Nothobranchius furzeri: one gene and its partner. The protein of the gene in region 2 interacts with the protein of the main gene of each other region in a biochemical or structural test. Links are inferred from orthologs where the notes say so. Each region holds a gene or a part of one and is shown on either strand. Other genes may lie near its edges.

Region 1 (4,106 bases), on a different chromosome or scaffold from region 2:
TAAAACAATGTATTTGATCAACTTATTATTTTATTTTTAAAGAAAGTTTTTGTTTTTAGTCTGTTTCTGTTTGTGAGACCTTTGGCCTTTTAACCCAGGATTTTATTCCAGCTTTTTAATAAGCAGAGTTATAAGAAGCTACAAGACTTTTTAAAACAAAATGTATATATATTTTTTTCAATTTTGATTTTGTGAATTTTTTTTACTTTTAAACATAAAACATTGTTGGTACATTTTTTTTATTTAAAATGTAACCCTTAAGGACCCAAACCCTTTTGAGATAAAAAAAAACTGATTGGAGTAAATACATAAAAATGTAGAAAAACATAAATTAAAATAAAGAAGTAAAATGATTTTTGATATACTGTATGTGTAGGATGTCACTTGGAGTTGTCAAACTTGAAAATATGACGCAAGAAGCAAGTTTGAAATTGGATGTGACACAGTGTCACCACGAGTTCATCTTAAGCCTTTTGGTTTTTTGGAAATAGTTTAAGATTTAGGCAATGAGCAAGATTTAACATGCAAAACTGGTTAAATATGGCCTCTGCTTCCAAGATGGTTAAACCTCCCTTTTTATTATATATATTTATGAGGGTTTAATATTATCATTATCATCATCATTATTATTATTATTATTATTATTATTATTATTATTATTATTATTGTCATAATTGTTATTATTATTGTTGTCATTATTATTTTTTTATGATCATCATCATTATTATTATTATGATTGTTTTCATTATTATTATTATTATTATATTATTGTTGTTGTTGTCATTATTATTATTGTTATTATTATTATTATTATTGTTGTCATTATAATTATTATTTTATGATCATCATCATTATTATTATTATTATTATTATTATTGTTTTCATTATTATTATTATTATTATTATTATTATTATTATTATTGTTGTCATTATTATTATTGTTGTTGTTGTCATTATAATAATAATAATAATACTTATTATTATTATTATTGTGATAATAATAATAATAATAATAATAATAATAATAATTATTATTATTATTATTATTATATTTAGAGCCACTTGAGTCTCCAGAGCAGCAGACTCATTTTCTCTACCTGTGCGTCGCAACGGTACAAAAACAACAATTTGTTCCCCTATTTAAACACTGACTTCTGACTTTGGGTGTTTATTTGATCAGTCAGATCGCGCGCGCGCTCCCCGCGCGCCGCTGAGGCGCTCCACATAGCGCGGGTGCATCTTTCAGTACAACACCGGAAGTGCCGCAGCTCCCAGGCTCGTGTCCTGTCCCACAGCGGCTCCCAGTGCTTTTCATCAGAGCCGAAAGCGGTCACACCTGGTCGGACCCAGAAGAGCAGTTGGAAGCCGCTCCGCTCCGTCCAGGTGAGTCTCTCCGCCGAGTTTATCCCGCTTTCATCAACTTTTGCGGGTGTTATTTAGTGAGAAGACAGAGTTAACTAAAAAGTGCGCGGCAGCAGCGAAGAAACTTAGTGGTGCGTTTCCAGCTGAGCGCGACACAAACAGGGCCATAAAAAACGAGCTTACAGCTTTTATTAAGTGTCGTTTCGGTCTGACTTGACCTTGTTTTCCTCCGACCTGTCAACAGCTCCAGAGGTAATCGCGTGAGGAATGTGGTGTCACCAGGGAGCTGCCGAGTAAACTCACGTCTGTGCGCCTCTCCACCTCAAGTTAACTCCAGAATCAAACAAACAAATAATTACACATCAAGGGATCCTCATGGCCACGGGCGGATTTAAGTCGAACCCAACCACAAACATCCTGGAGGAGTGGAAGGCGAAACGCGAGAAAGTCAGGGCGAAAATGCTGGGTGACATCGCTGCAGCCACCGGAGTTCCCTTGAGCCCCAGCGCCAACAACCGCCTGGGAGCTCCTCCCGGCGCGGACCTCACCGGCAGCCCGGACTGGAGCGCCTCTGCTGCGAACTGCCACACCCCCTCCTGCCCCGGCGTAGCTCCGAGCAGACCCGAGGAGGACGCGCACCACCCCGCGGCACCCTCAGCCCCGGCGAGCAACCTGAAGAAGGCCCCGCCTCAGCCAGACAAGGCTCCGGGCGCGTCCCCGGACTCCAGTCTGATGGCTTGCAACGCCAGCGACAAGGAGAGTCCGTCACCCAGCAAGGGCAAGGAGAAGAAGAGCTCTGGTCCCAGTGCACGGAAGGGGAAAGGGAAAGGGCAGATCGAGAAGAGGAAGCTAAGGGAAAAGAGGAGATCAACAGGTGTGGTGAACATACCTTCCAACGAGGTGAGTCAGTCCAGCTGGGCTTCAGTGTTCATCCTCAGGAGATCTTGCTCCTGCTGCAAGCTGCATCACTGGAGGCAACATTTGGATGAAAGTGAACAAGATAAAGTAATTCTTAAATAACTGCATTAAATGGTGGATGCTTGTCTCAAAGGTTGGCAATCATCCAGCAAAAGTTCATTTCAGAAAGAGACAAGAAAGCTTTAATAAAAGTTAAGTCTGCCCTGGCCTTCAGGAGGGCTTGGAGAGGACCTTCAGGGGTCAGGTCAAAGGTTATCCAAGGGGAAATGTGTCAAATTATCAGTATTTCCTAAAATATTAGAGTCACCTGAGGAAATTGTCTGAAAATCAGATTTAATGTCTTACTTTCTTAACTGTTTTTTATATTCTAGGTTTGATTTTATTAAGTGTTGCTGATGTTATGAACATACCTGAAGGGAACAGTGTGTATTTCCCCCATGAAACTACAAAAAACAAGGTTGAGAGCAGCCTCGTTTCCCCTAAGAGACTGCAGATTCCTCTCATGCATGTGTCTGGTTTAATTGCCCCTCTGCAGAGAGAAAAATGAAAAGCAGCCCTGGGAAGGGGGTGGAGTTGGCGGCTTCTGGAAGTGTTTGGAGGCGGTTGTGCCTCTCATTGTTTTTGAATTTAAATCATGTCGCACTCCTAATTCCTGCAGTTCCGACGCTTCGCAGCAACTCGGATCTGAAGCGGTGCCAGTGAGAGCCACCACAGTGATAATGTACTCACGCACTCTAAAAGCTCTTAAATTATACAGAAATGTTGAAAATGAGTTTTTTTCCCCCTTATTATTGAAGGTATTTCTGTAGAAGTGGTCCATAACGTTCCCATTGGCCCAATTAAACAGCCACCCAAGACTCTGTGCCTTTGGGCATCAGGACTTGGAGGTGGACCAGTTCTGCAGTTGGCTCTACATCCTGTTATGAAGGACTGTTGGAGAACTGGTCTCAGGCCAGAGGTGGGACGCTGGGCATGTTTGGTTTTTCCCAGATAAGTCCGATGACTTCCATAGGCAGCAGTCTGTGTGGTAAAGTTTGTGGACGGACTATAATTTAGGAAATCTGAGGTGAACTTTTGCACATCCTGAATGGAACACGTTGATCTGAGTAAGTAGCACACTGTGTGTATCTACATAACCCCTCACTAAACCAGCGGGAGCACATTTGTGCAACAAGCTTTGAAACACTTGTTCAGCTTTATTAGGAGACACGTGCACATTTTCCTCCTCGGCTCAGATACAGATCATAACTTTGCACATTTGCAGGTACTTTAGGTGCTCCTAAAGACTTAGACTACTGTAACTCTCTTTTCACGTGTCTGAGCAGAACCTCCCTGAACCGTCTACAGGTGGTTCAGAATGCCTGTGTTCGGCTTCTGACCAAGTCCTCCAAACACACCCACATCACCCCGCTTCTCCTCCAGCTTCACTGGCTGCCAGTCAACTTCAGGGTTCATTTCAAGATCCTGGTTCTGGTCTATAGAGCCTTACATGGACAAGCACCATCTTACATTGGTGATCTTCTTAGTCCCTACACCCCCAGCAGGTCCCTGAGGTCCAGTGATCAAAGCCTACTGGTTGTGCAGCACCAGGCTAAAGACCAAAGGTGACAGATCATCCGCTGCTGTGGCCCCCAGACTCTGGAACTCTCTCCCCCTGAGCCTGAGATCAGTGGACTCAGTGGTCTCCTTTAAAAAGCAGCTGAAGACTCACTTGTTCAGGCTTTGGTGTGACCTTCATCACCACCCTCTCCTTATTCTGTTCTTATTCCACCTTTCCTGGGATCCATTGCTTTCCCTCTTTCTTATTCATTTTCTCGCTCCCTTTC
Region 2 (4,234 bases):
CTTGGCCAGCTCGCTGGTGTTGCTGAAATACTCCTCATCAAAGTCGTAGTTAACAGCAGAAATATTGGTTAAAGTCTCCTGCTTGGTCTCACCCAGAAATGGCGATGCGCCGCTCAACCTAAGGTGGGACAGAGTTGGATGTAGACCTCGCAAGACCACAGTGACTCAACAGACAGACGTGATGTGATGCGTTACTCACAGAATGTACGTGATCACTCCGATGCTCCTGCAGACAAGAGGAGACAGGTAAAATAAGGAGGGGAAGCATCAGACGGTTTAGTAAAAAAACTTCTGATGAGAAGGGGGGGAAAAAAGGTACAGAATGGCATCTTACCACATGTCTGCCTCCAGGCCAAGTGGCTCGTAGTTGACTATTTCTGGCGCTGTAAAGAACAGAGGAATGAGCGCTTTAATTCAAACCAGATGTGATCTGAGGGGGAAAATCTTCCACTCTACATGGTTTAGCTGAGAGGCCTGCTTGGAAGAACGTCAGCTGAATTTTAGGTTGTGGGTTCTTACCGACAAACTCTGGTGTTCCAAAGATGTTTTTGAACTCGTTTCCAGCTTTGATCTGGTGAGCGATCCCAAAATCGATCAGCTTGATCCTGGGGTTGGGCACATTCTTGTCCAGAAGCATGATGTTCTCAGGCTGAAATATTAAAGCAGAATAAAAGAAAATGATGTGAAAACATTTTTAATTGTTGTTCCAATATCATTAATCAATATTTGTCGCTCTGAGAAACATCATTAAAGTCGTGCTCGTTAGTAGTTCTGATAAAAACGTCTAAACTCTGATTCTGCCAAATATTTTACATCCCCAGCTTCCCTTTAGGCTGCTGACCTTCAGGTCGAAGTGGGCGATGCGTTTGACGTGAAGGTACTGAACTCCGTCCAGGATCTGCTTCAGAAACTGCGTGGCCTCCTCCTCGGTCAGAGACTCCTTCTCAGCCAGGAAGTCAAACAGCTCCCCGCCGGACACCAGCTCCAGGATCAGGATGACGTCCGTCTTGTTTTCGAAGATATCGTGCAGGGTGATGATGTTGCTGTGCTCGATCTCCCGCAGGATGTTGACCTCGCGCTCAATCTCCTCACGGCTCACACCCCGCCGGCTGGACGACAGGCGGCGCTTCTTGATGAATTTGGCTGCATACTCGATACCCGTGCTCTTCTCTTTGCACTTACGGACGATGGCAAACTGCCCACTGCAGAGGGAAAGGATGAGAGAGACGCTGCATCAACAAATTGTGTTAGAATATTTTAGGGTGAGATTTAAACTGCCCAATAAATGAGGAGGTAATCTACCAGAAAATAGATAAGTTTAGATTAATGCAATTTAACAACAGAAAAAAGAAGCACACAGCATTTTACAGTGCAGTCCATTCTCCATCACTTAATATGTGCAGCTTGTCTTGGCAAACTCACAGCGTTCTCATCTTTGGAGACAAAGCCGAGGTGGAAGGACACACTTGGTGGACTTGATGTCACACTTTTGCTGCATTACTGCAGAAGAAAACCAGCTAATACAGAGAGGTGGGTTTAATCTTTAAAAAATGTTGACTCATCTCCAGAACTGTCCAGCACAGCATAAAGGGATGTAGGATTATTTTTATTGTTGCTGGTGCAATGCAAAAATTATTTAGCCCAGTTTGGATGCTGAGCTTTGGGTCAGATGAGGTTGAAACTGAGCATCTTGTGCCTGATCTGCCTTCAGTTCTCAGAATTACACAATTGTTTTTTTCCAAGCACACATTTGAGGAAAAAAAAAAAAGAAGGAATTTAAAGCATCATGATGTTTTTGATGCTGTTCTTACCTGCCCAGCTCCTCCCCCATCTCATAATACAGCTCTACATCCTCCTGCCTGAAGCCAGCCATGGTGCTGACTCGAACAATGATGGGAGAGATGCCTTAAAAACTTCCTACAGCAAAGGAGAAAAGTTAGACGCACGTAAATAATAACATACTGACGATTAAAAATGTGGCACAAACACAATCAATATGACGATTACAGCTGTAAGCTTTCATTACAAAGCATCGGAGTATTGTTCAGTCCAAAAATGGTAAATCACCCCTTATGACCTTGACTTCTTCCCTCCTTATTTGGTTCTAATCAACACAGCTTCAGTGTTTTTTTTTTCTCAGAGACTTTAGGCTGATGTCAGACCTCTGCATACCAGTCCTACTGACATCACCTCCTGTCCCGGTCCAGCTAACTCTGGCTCGATTAAAGGGGCTGGAATTTGTCCACACAGACATGTTTTAAAGTTTGTTTAGAACAACTGCAGATAAGTTGTATAGTGTAAGGGCTTTTGCAAAAGCATAAGCTACAACATCCGGCTGTTGTGTCAGAGAAGCCAGCAACACAGACCTTCCTCACCGACAACTATTAATAAAAACAGCCCGACTAAAGAGCTTTATTACACGCAGCTAGGAGAATAAAGTCGACAAACATCTATTCAATAGTAACATATTTAGAATGATATGAGAAGAACTAAATTAAACCGTGGCCACAGACGACAGCTAGCTGTACTGGTTAACAAGTTAGCGTAAAAAACACCGGCCGGGATGTCTTTGTTTTCACCACACCTCCGTATCCTGATACTTTAGCATAAATACGTTTATTGTTAGATACTAAAAGTACATTTTTATAATACACAGTTAACCCTAAGAATCTGAAGTCAACAAAATAGTTACTCACGGTATGGATGGCTACCAGCGCTGCATTCCTTATCCTGGGAACTGGGCGAGCGGATCTTTGGTCTGAGCAGTTTCAGTTTAGCCACAGCCAAACAACACGCTTCCGGTTTGTTGTGTCAAAATAAGTATTTAAAACCTGAAATAAATGTGGTATTTTAAAAATAAATTTTGTAAGAATTTTGTTTTATTCAGTTTATTCTGGTCTGTATGTTTTGTTTGGAAAATTGGAAAGTATATAATAGATTTGGTGTATTTAAATGCTTTTAAACTTTATTGTGAAATCTAGCATAACTTATTTTCCGGTGCTGACGTTTAACTTGACAAAGGTAAACATCCAACAGGACAGAAGGAAGGCCATATGGAATGACATCAGGCTGAGAGAATTGACTGAATTACGTCTGAAAAACAAGATTGAGCACGCAACTGCAATGATTAAGGCTCCTAATGAGGAACAGTGGAAAGAAAAAAAACCTTGGTTCACATGGCAGAAAGTTTCATGTAGAAAATGTTGGTTTATTTTTATATAATGGCTGGGAAATGAACAATCATCCATACACGAACGTTTACAAAATATTGGTTACGAGCATACGAGCCAAGCTAATTAGAGCCAAGGAGTCTGTCAGGAGCGCGCACTGGAAGGTCACTGGACAGGTAGCGCGGATCCAGTGGACTGCGCCTTGATTCCAACTAGTTAAACGTAGAATTAGGTTTTTCCAAAATATTGTGTCTTTACATAATCATTCAGTCTGTGACAACAGAAGGTGCTACTTTTTTTGTTTGCATTTATTATTACGACATTGCTGGATAAATGTCACCCTCTTGTGGGGATTTAGTGAGCTTAGACAAGACGTCTTTTTAAAAATGCCTATTTTTCTAATTATGGGGTTTAATTTTTTCACCTATTAGGTAAGTCTTAGCTTTGGCTCTAAATGTTTAGGAGGGGTTGATTTTAAAATCTGTTGAAAATCCATCCAAAAATGGATGAATGAATGTATGATTTTCAAATCAATTGTAGCTTTCAGTGAGAGCTATCTGAAGAAGGCAAAAGGAAAAGAAAACGGTTTCTCTTCCTTGACTTTTTGACGCTGCTTGTGTGACGTCTGTCGCCGCCTGGTGGTAAATAGTTGAAATTACAATTAAAAAATAAACCTTTTCTATGGTTACGCTTCCTGATGGAACAAAAATCATAACATCGTAAACTAATCATGTAAAACGCAACAAAAATTCCATTCAATAAATTACTATAAATTAAGAGAACTTTCAAAAAGAAAACTGTCGCAACTGTGAACATGCCAACGTGCTAAGGTCTTCTTTCTTTGGCTGCTGTTTCCGCTGAATTTATCGCAACCTGGTGGCGATTTAGTGACATTACAACAAATCAAAAATAAACCTTTCTAATGGTACATCGCTACCTAGTATTTACAGTCTATGATCGCTACGCTACCTGAACGCAATGACATATTTTATTCAATAAATTGCTATCAATTAAAATAACGTGCACAATGTTGCAACTGTGAACATGCTAAAAGCTCCATTCTT

Evidence for each region. The genes of interacting proteins can lie anywhere in the genome.
Region 1: of the proteins of dapk3 (region 2) and pawr, one has a biochemical effect on the other in vitro, tested with the Homo sapiens proteins (2 studies listed by BioGRID). The link is inferred for Nothobranchius furzeri from reciprocal best matches to the Homo sapiens genes DAPK3 and PAWR.

The regions. Positions count from the first base shown.
Region 1 is NC_091741.1:40,729,437-40,733,542, reverse strand, and holds the start of pawr (PRKC apoptosis WT1 regulator protein), read left to right. Parts: upstream 1-1,243; 5' UTR 1,244-1,383; intron 1,384-1,606; 5' UTR 1,607-1,737; coding exon 1,738-2,262; intron 2,263-4,106. UniProt on the Homo sapiens protein: Pro-apoptotic protein capable of selectively inducing apoptosis in cancer cells, sensitizing the cells to diverse apoptotic stimuli and causing regression of tumors in animal models.
Region 2 is NC_091751.1:45,573,875-45,578,108, reverse strand, and holds the start of dapk3 (death-associated protein kinase 3), read right to left. Parts: upstream 2,814-4,234; 5' UTR 2,697-2,813; intron 1,918-2,696; 5' UTR 1,874-1,917; coding exon 1,812-1,873; intron 1,203-1,811; coding exon 842-1,202; intron 650-841; coding exon 520-649; intron 384-519; coding exon 335-383; intron 227-334; coding exon 200-226; intron 119-199; coding exon 1-118. UniProt on the Homo sapiens protein: Serine/threonine kinase which is involved in the regulation of apoptosis, autophagy, transcription, translation and actin cytoskeleton reorganization. Involved in the regulation of smooth muscle contraction.